7 linked regions of the Kluyveromyces lactis genome follow. Each later gene encodes a partner of the first gene's protein in a complex. Links are inferred from orthologs where the notes say so. Each region holds a gene or a part of one and is shown in the gene's direction. Other genes may lie near its edges. The genes, in order: SEH1, MTC5, NUP2, NUP120, NUP82, NIC96 and NPR3.

What was found.
Region 2: SEH1 (region 1) and MTC5 share a complex: the UniProt entries of both Saccharomyces cerevisiae proteins name them as parts of the SEA complex. The link is inferred for Kluyveromyces lactis from reciprocal best matches to the Saccharomyces cerevisiae genes SEH1 and MTC5.
Region 3: SEH1 (region 1) and NUP2 share a complex: the UniProt entries of both Saccharomyces cerevisiae proteins name them as parts of the nuclear pore complex. The link is inferred for Kluyveromyces lactis from reciprocal best matches to the Saccharomyces cerevisiae genes SEH1 and NUP2.
Region 4: SEH1 (region 1) and NUP120 share a complex: the UniProt entries of both Saccharomyces cerevisiae proteins name them as parts of the nuclear pore complex. The link is inferred for Kluyveromyces lactis from reciprocal best matches to the Saccharomyces cerevisiae genes SEH1 and NUP120.
Region 5: SEH1 (region 1) and NUP82 share a complex: the UniProt entries of both Saccharomyces cerevisiae proteins name them as parts of the nuclear pore complex. The link is inferred for Kluyveromyces lactis from reciprocal best matches to the Saccharomyces cerevisiae genes SEH1 and NUP82.
Region 6: SEH1 (region 1) and NIC96 share a complex: the UniProt entries of both Saccharomyces cerevisiae proteins name them as parts of the nuclear pore complex. The link is inferred for Kluyveromyces lactis from reciprocal best matches to the Saccharomyces cerevisiae genes SEH1 and NIC96.
Region 7: SEH1 (region 1) and NPR3 share a complex: the UniProt entries of both Saccharomyces cerevisiae proteins name them as parts of the SEA complex. The link is inferred for Kluyveromyces lactis from reciprocal best matches to the Saccharomyces cerevisiae genes SEH1 and NPR3.

Annotation. Positions count from the first base shown.
Region 1 is NC_006042.1:649,975-652,705, reverse strand, and holds SEH1 (Seh1p), read left to right. Parts: upstream 1-1,196; coding exon 1,197-2,231; downstream 2,232-2,731. Other genes in the region: ALG7 (UDP-N-acetylglucosamine--dolichyl-phosphate N-acetylglucosaminephosphotransferase), read right to left, coding at 1-905. UniProt on the Saccharomyces cerevisiae protein: Functions as a component of the nuclear pore complex (NPC).
Region 2 is NC_006042.1:1,825,475-1,829,627, forward strand, and holds the start of MTC5 (Mtc5p), read left to right. Parts: upstream 1-1,353; coding exon 1,354-4,153. Other genes in the region: ARO1 (pentafunctional protein ARO1p), read left to right, coding at 1-1,094. UniProt on the Saccharomyces cerevisiae protein: Component of the SEA complex which coats the vacuolar membrane and is involved in intracellular trafficking, autophagy, response to nitrogen starvation, and amino acid biogenesis. May be involved in telomere capping.
Region 3 is NC_006038.1:545,774-549,647, reverse strand, and holds NUP2 (nucleoporin NUP2), read left to right. Parts: upstream 1-1,388; coding exon 1,389-3,374; downstream 3,375-3,874. Other genes in the region: SGD1 (Sgd1p), read right to left, coding at 3,474-3,874. UniProt on the Saccharomyces cerevisiae protein: Functions as a component of the nuclear pore complex (NPC).
Region 4 is NC_006039.1:1,080,501-1,084,787, forward strand, and holds the start of NUP120 (Nup120p), read left to right. Parts: upstream 1-1,487; coding exon 1,488-4,287. Other genes in the region: FAR8 (Far8p), read left to right, coding at 1-1,103. UniProt on the Saccharomyces cerevisiae protein: Functions as a component of the nuclear pore complex (NPC).
Region 5 is NC_006042.1:156,109-160,137, reverse strand, and holds NUP82 (linker nucleoporin NUP82), read left to right. Parts: upstream 1-1,465; coding exon 1,466-3,529; downstream 3,530-4,029. Other genes in the region: mannose-ethanolamine phosphotransferase LAS21, read left to right, coding at 1-669; MRPL37 (mitochondrial 54S ribosomal protein mL54), read left to right, coding at 875-1,171; SDH8 (Sdh8p), read right to left, coding at 3,676-4,029. UniProt on the Saccharomyces cerevisiae protein: Functions as a component of the nuclear pore complex (NPC).
Region 6 is NC_006041.1:1,253,996-1,258,085, reverse strand, and holds NIC96 (linker nucleoporin NIC96), read left to right. Parts: upstream 1-1,290; coding exon 1,291-3,873; downstream 3,874-4,090. Other genes in the region: PDH1 (putative 2-methylcitrate dehydratase), read left to right, coding at 1-782. UniProt on the Saccharomyces cerevisiae protein: Functions as a component of the nuclear pore complex (NPC).
Region 7 is NC_006042.1:1,680,034-1,684,136, reverse strand, and holds NPR3 (Npr3p), read left to right. Parts: upstream 1-1,303; coding exon 1,304-3,838; downstream 3,839-4,103. Other genes in the region: KLLA0_F18260g (zinc-dependent alcohol dehydrogenase), read left to right, coding at 1-720. UniProt on the Saccharomyces cerevisiae protein: Component of the SEA complex which coats the vacuolar membrane and is involved in intracellular trafficking, autophagy, response to nitrogen starvation, and amino acid biogenesis. Mediates inactivation of the TORC1 complex in response to amino acid starvation.

The DNA of each region.
Region 1 (2,731 bases):
CCAAGAATACCGACTACAGCGAAAACCATACCAGCGAAGTAACAGTAAGTATCACCGACAAATACTTTTGCAGGCCAGCGGTTCCATTTGAACAATGCTAGTGAGACTCCGAGGAATGGGACGATCAATAAAAGTGAGAATAGGTGTGATTCACGAGCATGTCCGTTCACACCCATAGTTAAATACAACACATCATTAATCATAAATATTAGGCCTAGGACAATGCTCTGCCCAACTTCAAGTCCATTGACACCAGCCAATATATTAATTGAATTTGGACAGAAAATGGCGACCGAAGCCATATAGCAGTAATAGAAAGCGCCTAAATCAATGGATGTCTTGCTTGTACCAATTAACTCTTGTACAAACTTAGGGATCAAAACATGGGTAACGCTAAAATCAACATAGTAGACTACAAGTAATGGAATCGCAGCAATTGCTGGTAGGAAGAATTTATGTCTCCAGCGAAGATCAAACAAATCGTCAGCAGCACCTAGTAATATCGTGGATTCAAGACATAAAAGTGCACTTAAAAATTCACTTAACTTACTATGTGGGAATAGCTGTTCCTCCGTCGATTCTTGAGAAACCAGATCTCTATTTCCACCTCCAGAGGTTATCACCAAATATTTGTAAAACATGAAAGGAATCGAAAAGAACATGATAAACAAATACACTGTAGCAGATACAGATCCAATTGTTTCTGGAATCACTGGCCTACCAGGTTTACTCATATCTTTGCCAAATAAACCAATCTTGATGAAGGAATCACCTACTTGTGGGATCAATACATCAACTGCCACGTAGCCAATTACAGAAAACCCTACTGCAGATCCGATAGGAGATACATCTTTAAAATATACAATTATTGCAATAGCAAACAGTAGCAAAAAATAAGAAAGCATGGTTCATTCCCTGAGCTGGTACTGGCTATATATAAAGCTTCAGTAAGCACTTTTTTAGCTTAGCATTTAAAATGCCAAGCGCTTTCTTAAATTATTGTGTTTTGATTTTCGATATATATGAATCCTTTAAACATTGAACTTCGAACTTTTCGAAAACGAAAGCTAAAAGTTGCATGATAGAGGGAAAGAGAGTTGAGCTGAGTTGAGAGATATCTACACTTCACGGCTTTGAAGGTTGAAGTTATTCTATCGACCAATCTAGTGGTAAATCCGATAAAATCTTTTATCATCATGAAACCGTTTTTGACAGGACACTCAGACCTAGTGCACGATATTAGTTATGACTTTTACGGTCGTCGAGTCGCAACATGTTCCAGCGACCAACATATCAAGGTGTTCAAGCTAGACAAGGAAACGAATGAGTGGGAATTGAGCGAAAGTTGGAAGGCTCACGATAGCAGTATTGTGTCTCTTGATTGGGCCGCACCAGAATTTGGTCGTATCATCGCGAGTGTCTCATACGATAAGACTATCAAACTATGGGAGGAGGATCCAGATGCCCTTGAGTTATCCGGAAAGCGTTGGCAAAAACTTTGTACGTTGAACGATGCGACAGGACCGTTGTTCAGCGTAAAATTTGCTCCATCGCATTTGGGACTAAGGCTAGCTGCATTGGGGAATGATGGTAAGTTACGTCTTTATGATGCGTTAGAGTCTTCCGATCTTAGGTCATGGACCCTGACAAGCGAGATTACCGTCTTAAATACTCCACCTGCATCACATCTACAATCGGATTTTTGTCTGTCCTGGTGTCCCTCCAGATTTTCAACAGAAAGATTAGTTATCAGTGCCATGGATCAGGCAACTATCTACCAAAGAAACAAACAGGGAAAATTGGTCCCAGCAGGACATTTGAAGGGTCACACTGGATTAATCAGATCCATTGCGTGGGCACCATCAGTGGGCAGGTGGTACCAATTGATCGCTACGGGCTGCAAAGATGGGAAATTAAGAATATTCAAAGTAACCGAATCGCGTAACAACGGTACGAATATTATAAACGAAGAAAACGATAACAATGCAAACATAGAACGTGATGGCCCACCCATTGACAGCTCCGCCATTGATGCAGATGGATCAGTGGCTAACCTTCACGTCGAGCTGATCAGCGAACATTCAGACCATCAGGGCGAGGTATGGTCCGTATCTTGGAATCTCACAGGTACAATCCTAAGTAGTACCGGAGATGATGGTAAGATTCGGTTATGGAAAGCATCTTACTCGAACGAGTTCAGGTGTATGAGTGTGGTACAAGCGGCAAGGTGATTTATGTATATATCCCTTCATAATGTGATGTTAAAATGTATGTAATTATTGACCACGTGACCAGATATCATCAAGGGTTCGAGATTCAATCTAAACACTGACAAATAGAAACCTTATAGCTAAAAGGTACGCCACATTGGTGGTTTAAAGCCGTCTTCTCACCTGCTTGGAGTTTATCATGTACCGATCAATTCTAAGTTCTAAGCCCCAAATTGCACACATCCAGCCGTTGCTTTGTAATCACATGAAATACATTGCATCAGAAACGAACATTTCCGCATGCTTTGACACATAGCAATAAACACTGACAGTTTACTAATCTATAAATCTTATAGGATGCAGATATACCCGGTGTCATCATAAAATCTTATATGATATACCTACAGTACTGTTATAACGCCGTTACCAGAATGTACAGTTCTTCATCGTCCGGCCGATAAATCTGTCGTTCCGTTGCTGTTCCTGATTGTTGGTTCCGTTCCTTAGCACTTCTGCTTTCT
Region 2 (4,153 bases), about 1.2 Mb from region 1:
ACATTGTGAAGTTCGTTGGCACAGCAGTAAGCTTCGATGACAATTTGGCTTTGGAAAAATTCAGGTCCACTCATACTTTGAAGCCACTAATTGCTATCAATATGACTGAAACAGGTAAGCTATCCAGGGTGCTAAATAATATTTTGACACCTGTTACCTCCAAGTTACTACCATCCGCCGCTGCCCCTGGTCAATTGACACTAGCTGAAATCAACCAATTGTATCACCAAATCGGTGGATTACCAGCCAAGAAGTTCTTTGTTATTGGTTCTCCAATTGGACATTCCAGATCTCCGATCTTGCACAACACTGGGTATGAGCTACTAGGCTTACCTCATCATTTTGATAAATTCGAAACTGAAGATATCGAAGTAGTTAAGAAAGAACTTTTGACCAGAGAAGATCTCGGTGGCTTAGCTGTAACCATCCCATTAAAACTAGATATTATTGATAGTATGTTTGAATTGAGCGAAGCCGCAAAGACCATTGGCGCTGTAAACACTGTTATTCCTTTAGGAAAGAACAAATTCAGGGGTGACAATACTGATTGGTTAGGTATCAAAAACTCTTTGGTTTCAAATGGTGTTCCTAGTTCTGTTAGTGGTTCTGCAGGTCTGATTATCGGTGCTGGTGGTACTTCAAGAGCTGCTATATACGCTTTGAAACAAATTGGTTGTGACACCATTTATATGCTCAACAGAACCACGGAGAAACTACAAAAGCTGAAATCCGAATTTTCCGAAGAATATAAGATTGTTGTCGTCGAATCTGCCGAACAAACAGAGTCAATTAAGGAACAAGTTTCTGTTGCTGTTTCTTGTGTTCCAGCTGATAAGCCTTTAGATCCAGAGTTACTAAACAAATTGGAAAGACTTTTGGCAAAAGGTACAAATAGCTCCTTCAAACCAACCTTGTTAGATGCCGCATATAAGCCTTCAGTGACCCCTATCATGAAGCTCGCACGTGATAAGTTCAACTGGAATATCGTTCCGGGCGCTGAAATGTTGGTTCATCAAGGTGTGGAACAATTTTCTAAATGGACAGGTGCAAAACCACCATTTAAAGCTATCTTTGATGCAGTTACCCAAGAATAGATAAAACATTAGATACATTTAAACTTCAAATAACGTCACGAATGATTAATAATAGCTTTCTAACTCCCCTTTTTATGTATGTCTAATCCACTATTTGTTAATATTCCTTAAAGCATTATTAACTGTTGATAGGAAAAAATGAATCATGAATATATAATGAAACAAAGCACAATTCAATAGGAAACATCATTCGTATATTGAATTCTAGTAAGGTTCGTGTTTTTTAGAGGTTTCGATATAAGCCACACTTTGAGATTGAATGTCTGAATACGTAGGGGAAGGTCCTTACTCATCACCAACCTTCGGGAAATCACTTTCTCTTCGGGTTGATGGTGGATTTAATGCTGTTTCTATCAATCCATCTGGTAGAGATGTCGTATTAGCCAGTCGAAAGGGCCTTTATGTGGTAGACTTGGATGATCCTTTCTCAGAGCCTCGATGGTTACACCATCTCACGTCTTGGGAGGTTGCTGACGTGCAGTGGTGCCCGCATCCGGCCAAGCATCACTGGGTTATATCTACGTCGAATCAAAAAGCAATTGTATGGAATCTATCTAGAAGCTCTTCTAAAGCAGTGGAGCATGTATTACATGGCCATTTCAGAGCCATTACAGATATAAATTTCCACCCGTTGCAACCAGAAATCCTAGCTACTAGTTCAATTGATACTTACGCCCTGGCTTGGGATATGAGAAGCCCCAAGAAGCCTTATTTTAGAACCAGTAACTGGAGATCTGGTGCTGCACAAGTCAAATGGAATCACAAAAATTCCAATGTATTAGCAACCTCGCACTCGAATATCGTGTATGTTTGGGATGTAAGAAAGGGTACATCTCCGTTATCTGTATTAGAAGGTCATAGCGGAAGCGTTAATAGCATCGACTTCAATCCATTCAACGAAACCGAAATCATGTCAAGTGGGAATGACGGAACGGTAAAGTTCTGGGATTATAATAAAGTTGAAGATGAACTACAGATGACAATTACCACAGAGTTTCCTGTGTGGAGAGGACGATATCTCCCGTTTGGGGACGGATATTGCATCATGCCGATGATAGGAGGAAATAATTCTGTATATTTGGCGAACTCTTTTCATGACTCAGGCAATTCTGAGTCAAGGACTACCAAACTACAGCCAACGTACGTTTTCAAGGGGCATACAGATAGAGTCACGGACTTCTTATGGAGATCGAGGCACAGTCAAAATACCATCATTGATGACAGAGAATTCCAATTGGTTACTTGGTCCAAAGATTGCGATTTAAGACTATGGCCAGTACCCGATATGGTTTACGACAAAGTTCACTACGAATGTGGCAAAGAGCTGCCGGAGAAGCTACCAGATTATGATTACGACACTTTTAGATCAGAACCTGAAAATAATATAGTAGATCCCCGGTACACAAATATAGAAATTCCGAAGGAAACCTTTGTTACAAAATCCGGACTACGCCAATGGAAAGCTGACAACAATATAGATCAACTACAATGGATTTCGGGTGTGAGAATGCATAACGAAGATTCACCGCATGATCTATTTGAAGAGGTGAGTTTAAACAATCTTGGAGAAGAAGTCACTTCCGTTGGGCACAAGTTCCCTAGAATTGTTTTTGAAAAAATTTCGGTTTCGACAGGAGAGTTAATTATTACTTTAAATGGTCCATGGGTGGAAGAAGATCCAGAAAAATACATTTTCATGCGTATTATTATTAACTTCCCGCCAAACTACCCCATGAAAGGAAATGAACCTGCGTTCAAGATTGAAGAGAACAGGGAATTAAAAGAACATCAAAAAACTCAGATAATGGAACGACTAAGAGAAATCAGCAAAAAATATGTCGATGCAAATCGATATTGCCTTGAGCCGTGTTTACAGTACCTACTTGGAGAAGAAGTTAACTTGGATATTTCCGACATGGAGGACGACAATAAAATTTTCAGCTTTGATTTCGAAGATGTAACTTCTTTAGATAGATCATCTTTGGGTTCATCTGATGATCATAGCGATGCTCCTACAGAGATTTCTTCTGTATCAGATGTTGAATTCGCTGTCGGGGATGGTTCTTTGCAATTGTATTCTAGTACACCAGAACCAAAATTTGATAGCACACCTGTCCCCAACGGTTGTGGAGCAGTTTGGACCGCTCAAGGAACCCTTGTTTGCTTCTTTAGAGCTGAGAATAAAACTGAAAAAAAGCAACACGCCATAATCAATGTTGGTAGAACTGGTATTGGAGGTTTTGTGAGATCAAAAAATGTCCAGAGTGCGTCACAAACTTTGAAGGATAACGTATCGGGAAAACAAAGAAAGCCAAAAACTTATAGAGAAGCGCTATCCATAAACTCACAACATGCCAGTGAATCACTAAATCAATCATCAGATTCGGATTCAGATGATAGTGATGATAGCTATGCTGAGTTCTTGGATGATATATTGAAAAATGATCTCACACTAAGGACTAGGATGCCAATGATGCCACGCATATTCCGTGATGAGACGAAATCTACTACGAGTGTATCCGGAAAAACCACCGATTCAAATAAAAAAAGCAAGTCATCTATAGTCGTTCAAGATTTTAAAAGTTTGATTCCCGACAAAAAAGAGCTAGCTGAACAGTATATTTTATTTCGGGAAACTCCTGAATTTGTTGCGAAGTACAATGCAGGCATTGCGGAAAGTTACGGCTATGAAGATATCGCGCAATGCTGGAGAATGATTTCTAATGTTTTAATAGGAAGAGGAGATAACGATTTCTACAATTATGATTGGGACCAGCATTCATTGGGTGGTAAACTTTTAGTGAAAAGACTATTCGAGTATTTTGAGAAGTGCCAAAATCTTCAAATGCTTGCAATGATGAGCTGCATCTTTGCTACGCTTGGAAGGCCAGATCAGAAAACAAATTATAAACTAGTTCCGCCTACTTTATCAGAAAACATCATTACATTTTATAACAATGAATACGAGCCATCGCCACATGTTCATTCCACTCACGGATCGTTCTACTCTAATGACACAGGTACACAAAATGCGAGAATGAGATATGGCACCAATCAAG
Region 3 (3,874 bases), on another chromosome or scaffold:
TTGTCAATTTGAATGAATCCTTACTTTCCAGCAAATTCACCCAAATTATAGAATCTGGTTTCCTAAGAAATATTTGCTGGCAGTTCCATTGGGCTATATCACCAAATAACAAAAAGCTGCATTATTCAGTACACTTTTAATCCTGATGCCATAGTACGATGATCAATACAATGTTGGAGAGAAAATTATCAATCCGTCCACAAAATATCTCTGGTAAATGTTGTTTCAGTATAACTGGTGTTGTTTCATTTGTCATCACTATCAATAAATTAACATTAGAACCTCTTCCTGATTCATATATCTATCTTATTCTTGTATAATCCTCGATATCAGACCTCGTGCTGGTTTTATTTTGTTATCTCTTTCATCGTAATCCCAAAAGTGCTATTCCAAATAAGTAACCACTGCTAGTACACGGCACATACGTTCAAATTCCCTTAGCTGGTTTCTTCTTGAATGAACTCAAAAGTAAATAACCCTATAATAATCAAGGTGCTACTTTAAACAACTTGTTAATATCTCTAAGTTGCAATTCAATGTAAATCAAAAAATGAATATTCAATCCGAAGTGAGTTTGTCCAGGACGCAAAGTATTCCTCTTCCTACCGGAGAAGCAGAGAAAGTGAAGCAGGATAACGAGGATTGCGACAAATGGACTCATTTTGGAAAGGAGATAATTTCCTCTTTAGGAAGGAAATAACGCATGAGAAAATATACAAAGTTCAACTTTCGGATATATAACGTGGTGTCTGGATCCAACAAAACAGTCCCGTAATACAACATTAAAAATAAGAGCGCTATAAAACAGATGTTTCATCTGATAGATTAGCAAGTTTTACACCAACAAGTCCTACATGGTGTTACGGCCATCGTACTTGCCACCTGCGTCAACTAATGAGGTAAGAAATCATTGCACGTGTGTCGGTTATAACGGTGGCTATTGCAAATAATCCCTGAAAGCATAACAACGTTTTATATTCCGATATAGTGTAACGGCTATCACACCACGCTCTCACCGTGGAGACCCGGGTTCGACTCCCGGTATCGGAGGAGAAAGCGATTCGAAAGTTTCGCTAAATACTTTTTACATTTTTACTCCCCTGAGCAACCCATCACAAGCAGAATAACATGTAGTCACGTGTTCAGCATAAGTCATCCCACACGAGTCAACAGTATATTGAAGGATTTAGAATTTCGAGCTGCTTTATTATTATTTCTGGTGTTAGTATCATCAATTCTCATGTTGATGTCTGAATGCTTACACATCAGCAATCCTTAAACTCCTTTTCTGCTACTTCCGGTTGCTTCCCGTTAGTTCAATTCGTTTCTGATTAAGAAAGTGACTTCTCTTGAGCTGATCTTTCCAAGCACAATACTCACTGTAGGATATGTCAAAGAGATTTGCGGGTTCTCAGATGACCAGAGAAGGTCTTGAGAACGGACATAGTAATAATGTTTCAGATGACGAGACTCCATTTGATAAACCTGCCGTTGCCAGCGAATCTGTAATGAGTACCAGAAAAATTGCAATGCCAAAGAGGAAAATGGGAGGATTTACTGCGGGTGATAAACCTAACATGTTCAAAGTGATAAAGGATGACAAGAAACCTCAAGGCACTGACTTAAACGAAAAACTCACGGCATTGAACGTGCAATTCAAAAATAAAATAAATTCTACATTGGAATCAGATCCAGTTGCTGATATTTCTTTCCTGTTCGATAAATACAAGACCTATTCGCAACAGTTAAGGTCAGAAGCGAAAACTAATGGCGCTGCAAACGCTCCTCCAACTAGCTCATTCACATTTGGTACCACATCAGCAAATGTGGAGAAACCTAAAAATCCATTTGCATTCGCAAAGCCTAGCGCAGCACCATCATTTGCTCTACCTTCGGAGGTGACTAAACCGACAACGACCGTAACGGAAGAGAGACTGCAAGATAAAAAAGAACAAATTGAGATTAACAGCGATAGTGATTCTGAAGAGGAAAAACCAGCCGTTAATGTTGAAGGCCCAAAGTTTGTCTTGGCTAAGAAACCAACGACGTCTGATCCGCCTTTCAGCTTCGGTGGGAATAAGCGTAAGGAACCTGACAGCGATAGCGACAGCGAGATAGAGATCAAGGGACCCCAATTTACGTTTAATGGGACTGTATCGTCCAGTGCCTTTACTTTACCAAAGAATGATGCTTCAAGGACAGAGGAATCTGAACCAGCTGAAAAACCAACGGATAACAAGCCAGCTAGTATATTTGGGAACTCTTCACAATCTAAACCAACATTCCCTCCTTCTGCGTCCGCACCATCCATAGAGAAAAATGAGGGAAGCAAACCAGCTCTTCCTGCCTTTGGGTCAAATAAGGCTGATAATGGTAATTCATCATCTCCGTTCTCATTTTCTTTCAGCAACAATAAAGATTTGGCCAAAGAAAGTGAAAATAAAAAGGAAGAAGCAAAGCCAGCTAGCACCTTCGGTACATTCTCTGCCCCTGCTCCATCGGCGGACTCTAAACCATCGTTTAGCTTCTCTGCTCCAGTGCAAAGGACAGCAACTGAAAACAAAGATTCATCAAAGCCTTCCTTTACATTTGGAGCTATGGGCAAGGAAAACAGTAATGATGAAGCTAAAAAGCCTTCTTTCACATTCGGTACCTCAACAACCTCTGAAAAACCGGCTGAGTCATCTAAACCTTCATTTACATTTGGTAAAGCTTCAACAGGCTCCACTCCTTTCACTTTTGGAAAACAGGAGACCGACAAAAAAGATGAGAAAAAACCTACGTTTACGTTTGGGGCAACAGCAGCATCAACTGTACCAGCATTCAGTTTTGGTGCCAACAAATCTGAAGAGGCGCCTCCACAAGGTGAATCATCTGGCTTCAAGATCTCTTTACCCTTTGCCTCATCTGCTCCAACATCTGATAAGGATACTGCCAAGGAAGTTAGTGAAAAAAACAGCGAAGACGCATCTGCTGAGGCACAAGAAGAGCCATCTAAAACTTTGAATCTATCGAACGGTGAGGAGAATGAGAATCTACTCTTTTCGCAACGCGCCAAGCTAATGATTTTCAATACTGAGACGAAAGCCTATGATTCCCGTGGTGTAGGTGAATTGAAGGTTTTGCAAAACAAGGAAGACAATACAAAAGCAAGAATACTTTGTAGGTCAGACGGTATGGGTCATATTTTGCTAAATACTAGTATTATAAAGTCATTTTCCTATGAAGCATTAGATCCAAATAATGAGAATTTGGTTAAGTGTCCTGCAATTAAAGCGGAAGGAGGGTTAGACACATACGTCGTAAAAGTGAAACAAAAGGCTGATGGTAGAAAATTAGTACAAGCGATCAAGGATGCTCAATCACCGATGTAAAATTAAGTACATTTAACTGTTAATTAATAGAACTATTTGAACTTAGTTCATATATGCATGTGTAACTATTAAAATGGCAAAAAAAAGTACTTAAAATAGTCAATCTTCAGCACCTTTGAGCTCCTCTTCTATCAGTTTTTTGAAAGATGCAACTGCCCAAGACAGTCTTCTACTTTCTCTATCATGTTCTTTTGAGCCTTTCATACCTGAAATATACTTGATATAATCAAAATGCTTAGATATAAACCATCTTAGCGCTTTTAAAATAACATTCTTATTCTGAATGTTAATACCTTTCTCGATCAAAGAAGACAAACCATCAGAGTTATACTCAAATGTTTTCTTTCCATCTCGTTTGATCTTTATTTCGGCTGCCTTACCTTCGGAAAGGAACAACTGGAAAAGCAAAATATCAAAGAAGATTATTCCATCTGAGTTGAGTCCTGCCATTAACGGAACATGCTTGAAAGCATCAAGTTTCAAGTGACCTTCTGCTATTA
Region 4 (4,287 bases), on another chromosome or scaffold:
ATGTCCCAAATATCACTCTAAACAGGGATTGGAAAGATGTCATAAATTCACCCCCAGGAGATGACGTTTCTGATGCCGAAACTGTAATAAACACAAGGCGATCAAGATCATCGTCCTTGTTCTCAACACAATCCAATGAGATGCTCAAATTCCATACTTATCGTTTCTTACAGTATCATTTATCTTCAATTAGCAAATTGAAGCTTCTCGGAAACAACATGCTATCTTTTGGCTCAGATGGTTTACTAAAGCACTGGCTCATTGAACCTAGTTTGAACTCTAATGAAAAGGCAACCAAGGCGTTTCACTGTGTGCCTAACCTCTTGGGTATTTTTTGGTTGAATAAAACAAGGTTTATGACTGTGGATGAAACTTCCGTCAAGTTGTGGAACGTAAGCCAGAGCGACCCTGTCATATCTTGGGATGGCCTCAAGGATTTAGAAGGCTTACAATCTGTAGATTTCAAAAATAAATGGCTAATTTTGACTTTCGTTAACGAGATACGGGTCTGGGAAATTAAAATCGATGACTCCAGTATCGTTAAGGTTAATGAATTCGTCATTTCAGTCCCCAATAAGATTCTCAATTGTTTGTTGGGATTAACGGAAAAATCGCTTATAATATTAAATGGTAGTTCAAAACAAAACGTAAAGATTTCTATCTTCGACTTTCAAGGCTCCCTTTTACAACAAATCGATCTTTCTCATTCGCTGACCCAATTCCATCACACAAATAATGAATTAGCATTGAACAGGTCGACATCAAAATTGCTTGTGAGATTCGATACAGAAACTCTGATTTACTCTTTCGATCAGAAGAAGACCATTTTAGTGTCTTCTACCGCAGAATCTGCTATTTCCTCGATTTTCCTCAATGATTTGGAGTACACTGTCACCGCTTTGAAGGATGGTTCAATACTCGTGAAGTCAATCAAAGAAGATGGTAAAGTAATTAGAAAATACAATCATTATGAACACCCTGAGAAGGTTCCCGCTGAAGTGCAACCAATTGCCATTGCATCCACAGTCATAGATGATACCCCTGTAATCGTTTCTGGTGGCTATAACGGTGTGATACGACTAGAAAAAATTATGAGCTTATGAACGCAATGCTATAGTAATCAAAGCTGCCGCTATAATTCAAAGAGAAATATAGGAAAATAATCTATAATGCTCATGTAAAACAGTACAAGACGAACGTCATCGTCTATAGACATGGTATCCCCAGAGTACCTATATAATCCTCCTCACAACATGGAAATTATTGCCCAAGCGACCTTAAAATTCAGTTATAAGTTACCCGGATAATATTGTTTTCATGGTTACAACAACAATGAGAAAAGACATGTTGAAATCAATCTGACATGAAGTGGAATCGGTAAACAGAAGAGAACAGCCACCAGAGAACTTCAATTACAGGCTAAATCGGAACATAAACCTACAACATTACTATTGAACAGCTGAGAGGTAAAGCTGAAACTGCGAAAAATGACCAGCTTTTCTCGTCTGAATACAAATTTACTACAATTAAAATCGAAGCACTCATCAGACAATGCCCAACATTTATACGTCAATGGGAATGTTGGATCATCTACAGAAGAAATAACTTCCGTAGAGTACAGCAAACTGTTGCAACTAAAATTAATTGATGAATCGTTGTCCTTCCAATGGTGTAATAATTACACTGTTTTGAGTATTTACTCCATGAAGGAAACTTTTGCAAGGAAAACCATATATATCCACTTTCCAAAACCTCTTCTGAACAAATGGTTTACTGCAGTCGTATACGAATCTAGTGAAACGACCTCCAACCTATGTTTTGATGTGATTTTAAAGGATGGAATTTTCATCAACCTTTCATTGCCTATCGATTTTATTCTATCGAGAACTCGTCAAAATGAGTATCCTGAGAATTGGTTGAAGGTTTTAAACCCGTATGATTTCTCAGTACGTCCTCCACAGTGTCTATTTCATGTTGATAACACCTTCAGTGTAGTATTTCTAAAAGATGGTGGTCTTTTGGGGTTAAAACGTATTCCGCTCGAAATATTAAACGATTTTGAATTGCAACCTGTCCTATTCAATGATAGTTCATACTTTCAAAGTTTTACAAGAATGTTTTCAAAGTACGATAACCACAACTCTGCAGTGGTATCTGCAGAACTTTTGAATGACAAGTATCTTGTCACATTAACGAATGATGCAACCATTAAAATCTGGGATTTAACCACATATCAACTAAATGCGCATTTCGATCTAAAAGAGAAAAACCAGCAGGTGAATTATGGAGCTGCCGGAAAATACATGATAATTTGTGGATCTCTCCTGTTTGTATACCTACCTGCAGGTAATGGATCGTTCCAAGTCATTCAATTAGAAAATACGCATTCTTCAAGAATCTCCTTCAAACCATTAAACGTTAATATACCTCTCAATCTTTCATCTTATTCAATATGGTCTTTAATTGACATTCAATTAGTAAAATCCTCAATTGTCAAACAATCGGGACTCAACTTGGTTTTATTATGGAAAAGTAACACAGTGACCAAGCTACAACTACTCTCCTTCGAAGACTCTCTGTATAGTAGCTACAAATGGATTGATGGTAACAGCACATACCTCTCTGATTTGCTTGATGACTCAGACCTAATAACAAACGGAAATATGGAAAAGGCTCTCCTCAATCTCAAGTCACACTACTCACAATCAACGTACGATGACGCACAAAAGATACTGAATAAAAATAATGTCATGGTGCAGATAAATGATCCTCATAATCAAGATTATTTGAATAATCTAGAAGCTCTTTTGAAAGAACTTCATAAACAATATCAGGAGCCTTCAACTCTAACTATTCTTGATGATGAGATAATTGTTGTTAACAGCTTACACATGTATCATCATTCCACGTATAAGTTAGACTCACAACTTGAAACAATTTTCTTTAACATTTTTGAGAGAAAGGAACCCTCGTCTCAACTAGAGCTTTTCTTAAATATCCTGCATGGTTTTTCAACAACCATTACATCTGAAACGTTAAATAAGATATCTGAGAAGTTCTTAGACATGGTAAATGGTTCAATAAATCCCTCGTTATCATTGAAAAATAAAATTACCATTGTCTTTCAAGATTGTCTAACAAATGGTTTCCAAAGTGCTAATTTATCAAAATTGTTGGAAAATCTAAATTCTATTGATGTGGTGGAGGTTTTATCCGAATTTATACACTGTGATTTGAAAGTAGGTGCTTTTTCAGTTATTGATTTATTAGATACTGACATTTTCTTATCTGTTTTGTCTATGGAATCCTTGAAGCAGACACTCTCCATTATGGATAAGTTTATCATTGATATATTGTTAGTATTCACTATTGTGGATATCAACTATGAAGTTTTTGCAGAGAAGTTGTCTAAGTTAATTACCTTGCACTTCAATATCTCATTGTGGCTCCAAGTGTATCAAATAGATAAATTATTGGCAATTTCTGAGACCTTCGGTCATGTTACTAAATACAATTATGGTGCACAATTGAAATCTTACAGCGATATAACCGACTTTACTACATTAATGGTTGGTTTTGTCAAGAATTCTCCAACAGCTGAACCTCCAATATTTACAAGAGCCTTTTCCGATTTCATATTGAACGGCGAAGATTTGACTTGTGCAAAGCAATTCCTACACTTTGTTGCTAAGCCTTACCATGTGTCCAAGGATCCAGTAGAAGAACTACTATATGCTCTTTCTTTGTTCAAATGCAATGAATATGATGCATCTATTGAAATATTCTTGGCAAATGACTTCTCTGATGAGCTCTCACTACCTAAATATCTGGAGGTTACTGAAAATCACGTTTGGTACAATCTCCTTCATGCGATCAATACAAAAGATAAACCAGCATACTATTATGAACTTTCAGTTCTATGTTCCAAAGCTTCATCGTATGCTAATGCTTTAAAAACCATCAAAAAATCTATATCACTTGATGGTACAAGAGCAGATCAGTTGATACAATACTTAGATACATTGATAGTATTTGGCGATTATAAAGAAGTCCTGGATGTATTGAGGTTGGAACAAAAAGTCCTTGATATAAGCCTAAGAGAAAAATACTATTATACACTGCTGAGTGATCAAAAGTACAGTGAAATGTTCACTGCAACTTTACTCCAAGAATGCTACAATGCAAACATTTCCAACGGATCCATACTATTATGTGTGAGTGATTATAAAATTATAGCTTCAATTTTATCATCACAAGTTTCTCTCACTGATTGGAACAGCTATAAAA
Region 5 (4,029 bases), about 490 kb from region 1:
TACACATTCGCACTTAGATCATGCGCCATGTATCTAGCTAATGAAAATGCTACAGAATCAGATATTTCACAATGTTTAGTGCCTATCGCTCGGATTTTCTTCCAAATATGTGGTGTATCTATTATAATCCTTCTTTTCATGAAATACGCCTTGAATAAAAGCACCAATATGTTAAACAAACTACTGAGTGTTATAAAATTCGTCTTGTTGCTCCAAACTTCATCTGCAAATATCCCATTGTTTCTAATATTTGAAATACTGACTAGCGTCACACCGGACATCACACCAATTTTCTCATTATGTCTACAAAACCTCACTTTTTTCCAATTTGGTGGTACGAACTCCATTGCAACTGTCAATCTAACTAATGCATACAATGGTGTTAGTAGCAACTATAACATATACGTTGTTGGTGTATTAATGTTCTTGTCTAACTACGCACCATCCATCTACTGGGCTCTCTCACTAATTCCTCAAAGCTACAAACAGAAGACACTACGCTTGCAGCATTACTATATCACCGGAACATGTCTAATGATAGCGTGCATTGCACTAAGGTACCACCTATTCATTTGGTCCGTGTTTAGCCCGAAACTATGCTACTACGCGGCCTGGTCCCTCTATAATGTCGTCATGGATTTCGCCATTACCCTGCTTGGCGTTTTGTGAATTCTTAGTTTTTGAATGAAAAATTTCGATAAAATCAACATTTTGTACCATAGAAATTCAAATTGGACTGTAAATGATCATGAACTTTGATAGCCGCAAGGCAGGACAAACTTGCCAAAACTTATTGTTGAGGTTCGAATTGGTATCGGCAACCACATACCCACCATAACAAATCGGTTATTTTTCATATTATATAAAGAGAGAAATGTTGAGAGTGACTCGCGTGCTATTTAACCAAGTGAAAAGCGAGGCATCTGGCCAAGCTGCCAAGATCGTGTCATCATGTCCAGCTGGCACTCCATTGAACTTACAAATCAAGAAATCCGGTAAGGAACCCGTGGCATTAGAAGACAGCGAATACCCTGAATGGCTCTGGACAGTGCTTGATGCCAACGTCCAAGCTGAAAAACTAGCAGCTGATCCAATCAAGCTAAGAAAAAAACAATTAAGGATAGCCAACCGTGCCAACATCAAACAAAATAACTTCTTAGCAAAGATTTAACGGACCCACAGTATGATTCACGCCTGTAAATATATATACATATAAAAATGACATAAAGACACATATCTAACATAACTTTTTGATATCTTTCGTACACTTCCTTTTCTGCAATACTGGATCTGCTATAGGTATTTTTTTTTTTTTACTATTAAAGTTCAAAATATTCAAAATATATCGACGATGAACTACTCTCACGCTTCTTGAAATACACGTAACACAGATCAACTGGCGATCTAACTGTGGTACCTTCTCTTCCATAACTTTAACTGCCGGATATTGAACCAATATAGTGGGATGTTACTCTTCAATACAGAAGATTTGAAGGCAATCTTCCAGGAAGTGTCTCTGAACCCTTCCGACCGTCTTGTCTGCAACAATTCCAACACTATTTATTTATGGCAGGACAACATCTTAAGAGTGCAATCAGACCACGAAACGCAATACAGGAGTTATAATGTGGAGCTTCCATTCGTTCCAGAACAAATGGTCATCAGTCCGTCGGGGGGCCTTGTAGCATTTCATGCGAACAGCGAGCTCTATGTCATGGAAGTGAATGAGCAATCTAGATTAAGAAAGCATTTCAATACCAGTCTAGGGATAAAAAAACTATTATGGCATCCTCTGGCTACTTATGGGTTATCTTTCGTTATTTTGCATGATGATAGTACAATTCGAATTTATGATCTTGAAGACCTAGAACCCGAATCTATCACTGTTTTCAATCGTAAATCGAGATCATTTGGGTTATCAGACCATGTGGAATCAGTTTGTGACATTGCATTTGATCCAACCGGTTTGACACTTTATCTGCTGAGCTCCTTCAATTACTGTGACATATATGCTATCCATCCGTGTCTACCAAAGAATTTTTCCCTACGCAGTAATGATACATCAAATGTCACATCAAGGACGAAAAATGGTTCTTTAGCGGATTACATGTTGCACAAATCATTGTCTTTATACAATAGCCTCGATAAACAGCTAAAGCTGATATCAGGTTCAGATCCTGATGTGGAATCCGATTACCTCACCTTAAAGCATGATCTATTGAAACAAATTCAATTTTTCGACAACTATAAAAAAAATGATGGTATAGACACATTCACGAGCAAAGCAATCAGGAACTCTGTACCACAGGGCCCGTTCATTATAAAAAAATTTCCGACAGCTTTGAATGCGAAAGAGGTCACAGGCTTGACAATCATACCGGTTGGAGAACGTTTGGGCCTTTTGAATCTTCAATTTATAGATGGAACAAACGTTGTGTTGTTCTCCGATTCTGAAATTGTCATGAGTTGGAGTTTACGCTCCAATACTACATTCAATAACCTTAGTGTAATAACAATGTTCAATGCAAAAGGTCAATGCCAACTACTAAACTCCTCGGAACCTAAATTAGTATTTACTGGTGATAGCTCCACGACTATCATGGAAATGCCATGGTTGGAACCATTGGCACAGTGCATAAGGCTTCATGACTTCTCTATCATTGATGATGTTAAGTTTGAAAATAAAATAAGAACAGTTTCAGGAACTTTCCTCGGTGTTTTATCTACCTTGTCTGGTGATATTCTTTACAACGGCAATTCCTTCAAGGTCATCGAGAGTAACGACAAGAGCACCACACAGAAACCCATAAACAGAACCGATGAAGTGAAATATACATATAAACCATCGTTGCCAACGTCTGGAAAGGAATTGGATATGCTTTTGACGAAGTATAAAACAGAAGCCAATGGATTCATTTCAGGCATACCGGACTCTTTGGCTCCTCTCCCTTTGAAGAACAATTCCAATGAACGTCAATTGGAAGTGGTTTCTGAACTTTACAAGGAAACCATGAAGCGCGTCAAGTTGGGACAGATGATTTTATTTAGAATGTTCAACAAATCCAACGAAGAAGTGGCTGAACTCCATCGCCAATTAAGAAAAACCAACGAGATCGAAATGTTGAGAAATAAACTTAACGGAAACTTGGGAGACCTCCAAGAAAGATATTCCAGGTATGAGGAAAAGTCCAAGACGTTGGAAAAACGACTTGACAAGTTAAAAGAGACATTCTCCAGTATAGAAAATAACGAGAAATTAAGAACAAGCAGTATCAGCGAGGCCGAACTAGTGTGGTTCAAAAGTATCAAAAACCAGGTATTAAAGTTCAATAACTATGTACATCTGACAAACAAACTTCGCGAAGAACTAGAGTTTTTGGACACACAGCTTAGATCAACTACTAAAGGAGACGATTTCTTTTCCGAGCTAGAATTTAGTTCCCTACAACAAATGTTACTGAACGACAAAAAGGTCATCAATTCTTGTATGAATGAGTTAAGCGCATCCATTGAAGATCTAGCGGTATAATAGCAATCACCATCTACATATCTTTTTTTTTTCGTTTTTAGTTTTAAAACTGGCATATACCTTACTATATTATGTGCTACTTTTTATATCATTTCATTATGTGAATATGCTACTAACCGAATTTTGTTTTAACGTGTGAATGGCGCTCAAAAATCGGTGACTCTTCCGTTGAAAGAATAATCACCATGCCTTAATGGATCCTGCTTTGGTCCACCAATTTCTCCTGTTTTAGGATTCTTTTCGCCTTCGAACTCTGGTATAGTCTTCATAAATTCTGGAGAAAACCCACCAATATCGTTCTTCAAGATTGGCGATTTCACCGATTCCATAGTATGATCCGATTCAAACTGTGCATTATAAGAATCAATAGCTTCTTGAGAAGACGCTAGCTTCTGCAGCCTTTCAAACTCTTCCTGGTCTTCCTTTGGTAATGGTGGTGGACCTGCTCTTCTTTCTTGAAATGTTCTAATTTGATTCAACCTGACAAAGGCTGGTCTTAG
Region 6 (4,090 bases), on another chromosome or scaffold:
CAGTGGCAAGAGCTGTCAACATTGCATATTTGGTGAAGAATGGAAGTCCAGGTACAATTCCTTCCGTACTAACCGCTAAGACATGGGGTTTTTATGACGTTCTTTTCAAAGGTAAACCATTCACCTTCCAGCAAAGGGACACTTTCGGTTCTTATGTGATGGAAAACGTTCTTTTCAAGATATCGTTCCCAGCAGAATTCCATGCTCAAACGGCAGTGGAAGCAGCTATTAAGGTGAATAAACAGTTGGCAGAGTTGGGCAAAACTTACAAAGACATTAAAAAGGTCAGAATTAGAACTCAAGAAGCCGCTGTGAGAATTATTGACAAGGAGGGTCCATTGTACAATTATGCTGACAGAGATCATTGTATTCAATACATGACTGCTATTCCATTAATTTACGGTAGACTAACGGCTGACGATTACAGTGATGAAGTAGCAAGCAACCCTGAAATTGACGAATTGAGAGCTAAGATGTATTGTACTAAAGATGACCAATTCACTTTGGATTATCATGATCCATCAAAGAGATCAATCCCAAACGCTTTGTTAGTAGAATTGAATGATGGGACTGTCTTAGATGAAGTGGTCGTAGAATATCCAATCGGTCACAGACTAAGAAGAAAGGAAGGTGTCCCACTATTGATGCAGAAATTCTACCACCATTTGCGTGAACATTTCGCCGGCGATATTGAAAAGGTGGAAGCTTTAATGGAAGCAAGTACAGATGACGGTTTCTTAAACTTAACTGTTGATGAATATGTCAACATGTACTGCGATTAAGCTTTGTCCTTCGCACAGCATCATCAACGTATAACGACCACAATCAATTTTTCATTTCATTCAACTCTTTTTTTGAACTAAACGAAGTAAAACCTACATTTCAATGGTAACCAAAACAACATTTTCTATTCTACAAAAACTGACCACAGGAATCAAAAGATTCTGGCAATCATCAATTCCAGATTACAATATATAATTAACTTATTTTCTCTTGAGTTAATACATACATACTTATGTTTTAATATTAATTACTGTCATGATCAATTTCTGGCTGTCCATTTTTTTGTCCCGTCACATGTTCGGGTAACGGTGCAAAACATTGTAGTTAAAAAAAATTAGACAGAAAACAATAAAAGAAAATGTAAACTATCAATACGTTGAATAGATGATGGAAATAATTCATTGAAGATACTTTGAAAATCAATACACATTGTTGCTATCCATCGCATCAAATTATCTTTAACCCGTTCAGATTTTGGAATTGTAAAATCCACACAATCGTGGAACTATGAATATCAACAGTCAAATCAGCAGTGATACAATGCTATCTGCATTTCAAAACGATGCAAAGACTAGTGGCTCCACGTCTAAGAGCTCATCGAAATTATTCAATGAGCTTTTAGAAACGTCAAAGAACTTACCTTCTACTTCATCTGACCTTGGAGCTATCTTATTGAGTGTCAATGAGATGAAAAAGAGGGCACAGGAGATGCGTAAGACAATTCCTCACGATTCCAATCATACAAAAGCTCATTATCTCTTAGCAGGAAGTGGACTTGAATTTCACGAAATTGAGAGTTCCTTGAAGAATCTTAAGTCATCAGAGTTGTTAACCGAACAACGGGTTGCACAAGGCTATAACGATGGTGATTTGGACACTTATTTACATATTAAGAAGGATGAGAATATCCTTTCCTCCATTGAACAATCATTGTCTTTAGCAGCGAAGGATTTTGATAATTTCATTAATCAGAACTTCAACCTAGATTGGAAGCAAAGGAAAGATGAAGTAAGAGAAAGCTTTGGGATCCTAGTCAAGAAACGTCAGGATAGTTCTAACTACGATACGACTAATTTGGCTCCTTTGGATCCCAACGGTCCAATATTTTGGGGGAAACCACCTGGTAGTGGTATCTTGGATGGTGATTTAAATTCAAATGTCAATGGAAATCACATCCTTAGAGAAAAGTTTGAGAAATATGCCAAAATTATTTACAGGTTTAACAATTCAAGACAATCACATAATGACGATTTTCAATTAACCAAAGAGTTCATTGCCATCTTTCAGAATACGACCGACTCGAAGTATAGACAGCTACTTGACGGTTGGGAGATTATAGATAATGCAACAAATCAATCCCCAAATATTGTTGAGTTTTCCAAAAAATACCTAGAAAACCAGTTCTTGAGCTATGTTGACAATTTGTATTCAAAGAATCCAAGCGAAGGTTTACCGACCAATGTTAACAAAATTAGAGCATTTATTGACCTCAAACTGAAGACTGGTGAAAATACTTGGAAATTTAACAATCTTACGATTGTGAATGGAATTCCCGTATGGGCCTTGATTTTTTATTTGCTAAGGGCTGGTTTACCGCAGGACGCGCTAGAAGTAGTTGTTAACAACAAATTGAGTTTCAAAAAAGTGGAGCAATCTTTCCTAACATACTTCAAAGCTTATGTAACGTCTCCTGATCATCGTCTTCCACAGGAATTTGTCTCAAGGTTGCATACAGAATATAACCAGCATATCAAAAACACTTTGGACAGCGATCCGTTCCGTTTGGCGGTCTACAAAATTATTGGCAGATGTGATTTGACAAGGAAGAATATCTCTTCTATTACTCTAAGCGTGGAAGATTGGTTATGGATTCACTTGATGTTAATCAAAGATGATATGGATATGGATGATCCAGTATATGAAAGGTATACCCTCAGCGATTTCCAACATACTGTTGTCTCTTACGGTGAGTACATGTTTAAAAACTATTATCTACAGGCCCTTTTGTTAAGCGGACAATATGAACTAGCAGTACAGTACTCATACAAAATAAATGAAATCGATGCTGTTCACTTGGCAATTGGTCTAGCGGCAAATGGCATGTTACATGTGTCATCTTATAAAAAGGATGAGTTGATCTCCGTGAATGATGGCCAAACAAGGATAAACTTTGTTAAGGTATTAGGAAATTACACAAAGTCGTTCAAGTACTCTGATCCAAGAATAGCTGTCGAATATCTAATTCTCATCGCACTAGTGAATGAGAAAGAGCAGATTGAATGGGCGTATGAGGCACTCAGGGAATTGATCTTGGAAACTAAAGAGTTCACCATACTTCTCGGAAAGATCAACTCTGAAGGAATTAGGATCCCCGGTGTAGTTGAAGAAAGACGCCCATTATTACAGCTTGAGGACCAGAAGGACTTTTTGTATAAGATTACCGAACAGGCTGCTCGTAGGGCTGATGAAGAAAGAAGAATTCATGATAGTTTGTTGTTGTACCAGTTATCAGAAGAATATGACATTGTTATGTCCATTATCAACAAGTTATTGGGAGAACTTCTAAGTAGCACTGACCTCAATCAATCCCTCTTTAGGTTGAATGACAACAGCGAAACGAATTACGTCTTAATGGCAAAGAAGTTAATCGAAGTGTACATCAACAACATCGAAATCTCTAAAAAGGTTCAGGCAAGAAACAAAGAAACATGTATTGTCTTGTTGAAACTAGCTGATATAAGAGCATCATTCCTAGCACGCCAATGGCAAAACACCCTACAACAGATTGAAGATCTCGATTTAATTCCGTTCACGGATGAAAGCTCGACCAGAAAAAGAGCACAAGAATTTACACATTTGGATGAGAATATATTAAAGAACATACCTAACCTGTTGATAATTACAATGCTATGCATTTCTAACATCATAAAGCAGTTGAACGAAAGTGATTACCAATCTTTGACTAAAAAGCAGCAAATCGATTCTCTCAAACGTGTTGCTAAAAATTGTATGATTTATGCTGGTATGATTCAATACAAAATGCCAAGAGAAACTTACAGCATATTAATCAATATAGAAGTTGGTTTGTAGCAGAGCTCTCATTTATGAGCACCTGAGTTATGTCAGAACCCAGACGTCCTACCATAATAGCATACAATAAAATAACCATGTGTAAGTCGATTGTTATTCGATATAATTGCCTGATAGATTATATATGCATATGTATATATATACATTTGAACTGCCAATTACCTTTTCAGCAGTGCATTGTTGTAGTGAGTAGAAGATGCAACGAAATGTACAAGAA
Region 7 (4,103 bases), about 1.0 Mb from region 1:
TCCAACTGTCCCGATGCTGACTTGTCTGGTTACACCCACGATGGTTCTTTCCAACAATATGCTACCGCTGATGCCGTTCAAGCTGCTAGAATTCCAAAGGGTACCGATTTGGCTGAAGTTGCTCCAATTCTATGTGCCGGTGTTACCGTTTACAAGGCTCTAAAATCTGCTGACTTGAAGGCCGGTGACTGGGTTGCCATTTCCGGTGCCTGTGGTGGTCTAGGTTCTTTGGCTATCCAATACGCCAAGGCTATGGGTTACAGAGTCTTGGGTATTGATACCGGTGCTGAAAAGGCTAAGTTGTTCAAGGAGCTAGGTGGTGAATACTTCGTCGATTATGCCGTCTCTAAGGATTTGATTAAAGAAATTGTTGACGCTACTAACGGTGGTGCCCACGGTGTCATTAACGTCTCTGTCTCCGAATTTGCTATAGAACAATCCACCAATTACGTTAGATCAAACGGTACCGTTGTATTGGTCGGTCTACCAAGGGACGCCAAATGTAAGTCTGATGTCTTTACACAAGTTGTCAAATCGGTCTCCATTGTTGGTTCTTACGTCGGTAACAGAGCTGACACCAGAGAAGCTCTAGATTTCTTCGCAAGAGGTTTAGTGCATGCTCCAATTAAGATAGTCGGATTATCTGAATTGGCAGATGTTTATGACAAGATGGTCAAGGGTGAAATCGTTGGTAGATACGTTGTCGACACCTCAAAATAATTTTACTTCAATATGGTTCGATAATGAATCCGGTTTTCTTCTCTCGCTCTGAATCCCTTCATACATAATTGATTTCAATAGCACTATATTTTACGTTTAATGAAACTTTCAAGAATAATAGTAGTAACATCAGGACCTTTTGAGATGTTCTAGTATCGATTACGCGATCCTACTTTCTTAGCAGACAATATTTTAATCTCTGTTTGTTCTTATCTAATTTTGAAAGTTAAAACTGCAGGAACATACACCACACGACAAATTAAAAGCCCTCAAATACATTCAGCAACGTTTGAGTTTTACTGTTCCAAAAACTTAAGCATATACGACACCCCGATATTAACAAACCAAAGGAGATTTCGTAGTGTCTACTTGTGCTGTCTCTCCAGTCATATATAGTTTCCCTTATTATTATAGAAATATCTACACATGAAAAATATGAAAATACGATAGTCATTTTACTTGATTAACTGATAAAACACCTAATATACAAAAGTACTGGGGTATAACTGCTAATTCGAAAGAATCTTTCCCTCAATCTAAGAGTTCAGCAGTCTATGAAGCTCCAAGAGATAGGAATAGCTCAATGTCCACGAATTTACCGAATTCCTGCTTAGTACAAATCGCATTAACTGTTTCAACTCATTCGGGTCCACAATTAATTTATCATTATCCACCAAGCAACTATGCTACTGCGACCAATTCGAAGAAGACGCATCACCCAGATATCAAGAAAAGATACGAGTATACGGACTCTGAAAACAATTCGTCTTCAGATGACTACTCTTCAGGTTTGAGTGATAGCGAGTTGTCGACTGACTATGCAGATTGTTCATCTGATGCATCAGAATCATCGTTAGACTCCCTTCCACAATCAAATCATGAGGATACTGTAAACAGCAGTACAAACAATACATTTATCAATAATGGTCTACGATCTCGTCAATCTCAGATTAGTGCGAATAAACTCTTTCAAGTGCTAAATCAGAATAATAACAATGTTGCAATCAATGGCGAAAACTCGTTGAGGGAATCGTTGCACTCGATTAGAACATCGACTAATATGTCTAGTACGACTGATCCGAGACCAGAAGATGAATTGGATGCAGTAGATGAAGAGTTGAAAATCTTGGTAGACGATTTGCTAGATGGTTCAATATTTCAGCAGGATACATTTCAGGATATCTCAAAAGTACTAAATTTCAATACAGAATTTGTAGCTGAACTCTGTTCTCCAAGAAAGGAGATGTGTAACACCAGATTTGAATTCACTGTGGATGACTTATGTTTCTTAGGGTTGCCAATTCACGCGGATCACAAAGGAAGATGGAAGAAATCAAAGAAGAGAAAGCAAGCTTCCAAACGTTCGGCTAGAAGTAGCACTGCACGAAACAGTATTAGTAGAAATAGTGTTGGTCGAAATAGTATTGGTCGAAACAGATCTAAAACAGAGAGTCAAGGACACATTAATGATGTTGAAGAACCTGCAGATGATGAGAATAGTGATTATGAACCATCCAAATCAGAAATGCTTAATGAAATGTACTGTGTGCCTGATGCGGAAAATGATGAATTCGAAAGTTTGCAGCAGAGTATAAACATGTTCCAGGTCTGCTTCATCATGAACCCAAAGATCATAGAATATAATGAAAGAGTCGATGATATGTATCATTACGTGGTGACTAGATTATCATTGATTTTAAGGTACATACAAGGAAAAACCGGTTATGTCACTAGGGAATGCGTGAAAATTATGAAGTGTAAGGACGAAGTTTCTAAACACTCTCGATATTATGAGTCTTTAAAATCTCCCTGGTCTAAAGGAAAATATATGTATGAAAGAATTCTTTACGAATCGTCACTAGCTAGAGCGTTAACAAAATGTTTCAATTGCATCCATAACAATGAAATTGCTAATCTTGAAATTGATGGTGATAAAATTGTTTCCTTGCAGATTCCAATCAAAAATGAATTTTCCATTCTTCCAAATTTAAAAGAAGATGCTGTTCTTCGTGGATCTTTCTTATCCTCAATACTAAACGAAAGTTTTATTGGTAGAAGCACTAGCTTGACAAACGAAGATTCAGATAATTTGTATGCCAACCACGACAGGCTTCTAGATTATGGATTGCTTTTGCTCGATGAACCTGAAAATATTATAAAAGGGCTTGAAAACGCTTCCTTTGATAACGGCGTTACTGATTTACTTTTGATCAACCTTGTAAGACAGTTGAAGCCCACTATAAGGCTTGGTCAATATAAATTATTAATTAAAGAGCTAATCGATTCTAATGATTCCTCATATGATGATCAATTCTGTGAAACTACTTTAAAGTCGTTATGTCTACATTTAATATACTGGCGTCACGCCCGTTTGATACTGCCAATATCATCGAGAAACACATATATAGTTTCTCCATTGGCGCCAATCTCAGGATTTTCAACTGATGACTTCAAACATGGCGAATACGACACCTTAATAAGACAACAAGAAGTTCCTGTGAATAACAACGATGAACCGTCGTTGATATACCAAAACAAGAAGGTATTCAATGAAAAATTTCCCTCCTTACCTTCTTTGCCATCGTTCCTTCAACTTATGTCAACCCAGAAACCCAGACCTTTCGGGCATATCATACCATCCAATGAACATAAATCTATGTATTTGAATGCCCTGGCATGGCTCATGAGGTACGGATACCTCACTCAATTATTGACGTTTGTGTATGTACGTGTGGACAAGCGCATTAAAATAGCTGTCGATGAGGATCTAGAAAAGGATAACTTAAGATCGAACAAACACGAAAAGTCCGGTAATTTTGTTACTGGAGGTGAAAATTATAACTCCAGTGAGTTTGATGATTTGGAGATGATCAACGATAATGATTTCACTATAATTCTTGAACCAGAACGTAATACTGCATTAGAAAAGAGATGGTTGTACAAATGTGCTGAGGCATTACCTACTGATCTTCAAACGCTATTTAGACAAGTGGTGAAATACTTTAATGGGAAGGTTTCTTTGGAGTACATTATGATTAAGGAAGGTATTCCTAAAAATGAGATAAAAAGATTGCTTCAGGCCTTAGGTAAGTACATCGTTGAAGTAAAACACTGGTAAATGCCCTATCCCCTTACATTGTTATTCTTCTAATCGATTCTACGCACAGGATTTTGTCAATGCATAATAATTAAGTACTATATAATAAGCCATTTTTGGAGTTGCATAACTTTATGTCATAACTAATCAATTCACTGTGTTTTATATTTTTTGTTTTGCATGTTGTAACCATAACAGTTTGTAATTCCGGAGAAGCTCGAACAGAAAACATATCTATATATATATGCCATGCATGTAAAGTTTAAGATGATATCTTAAGTTTATT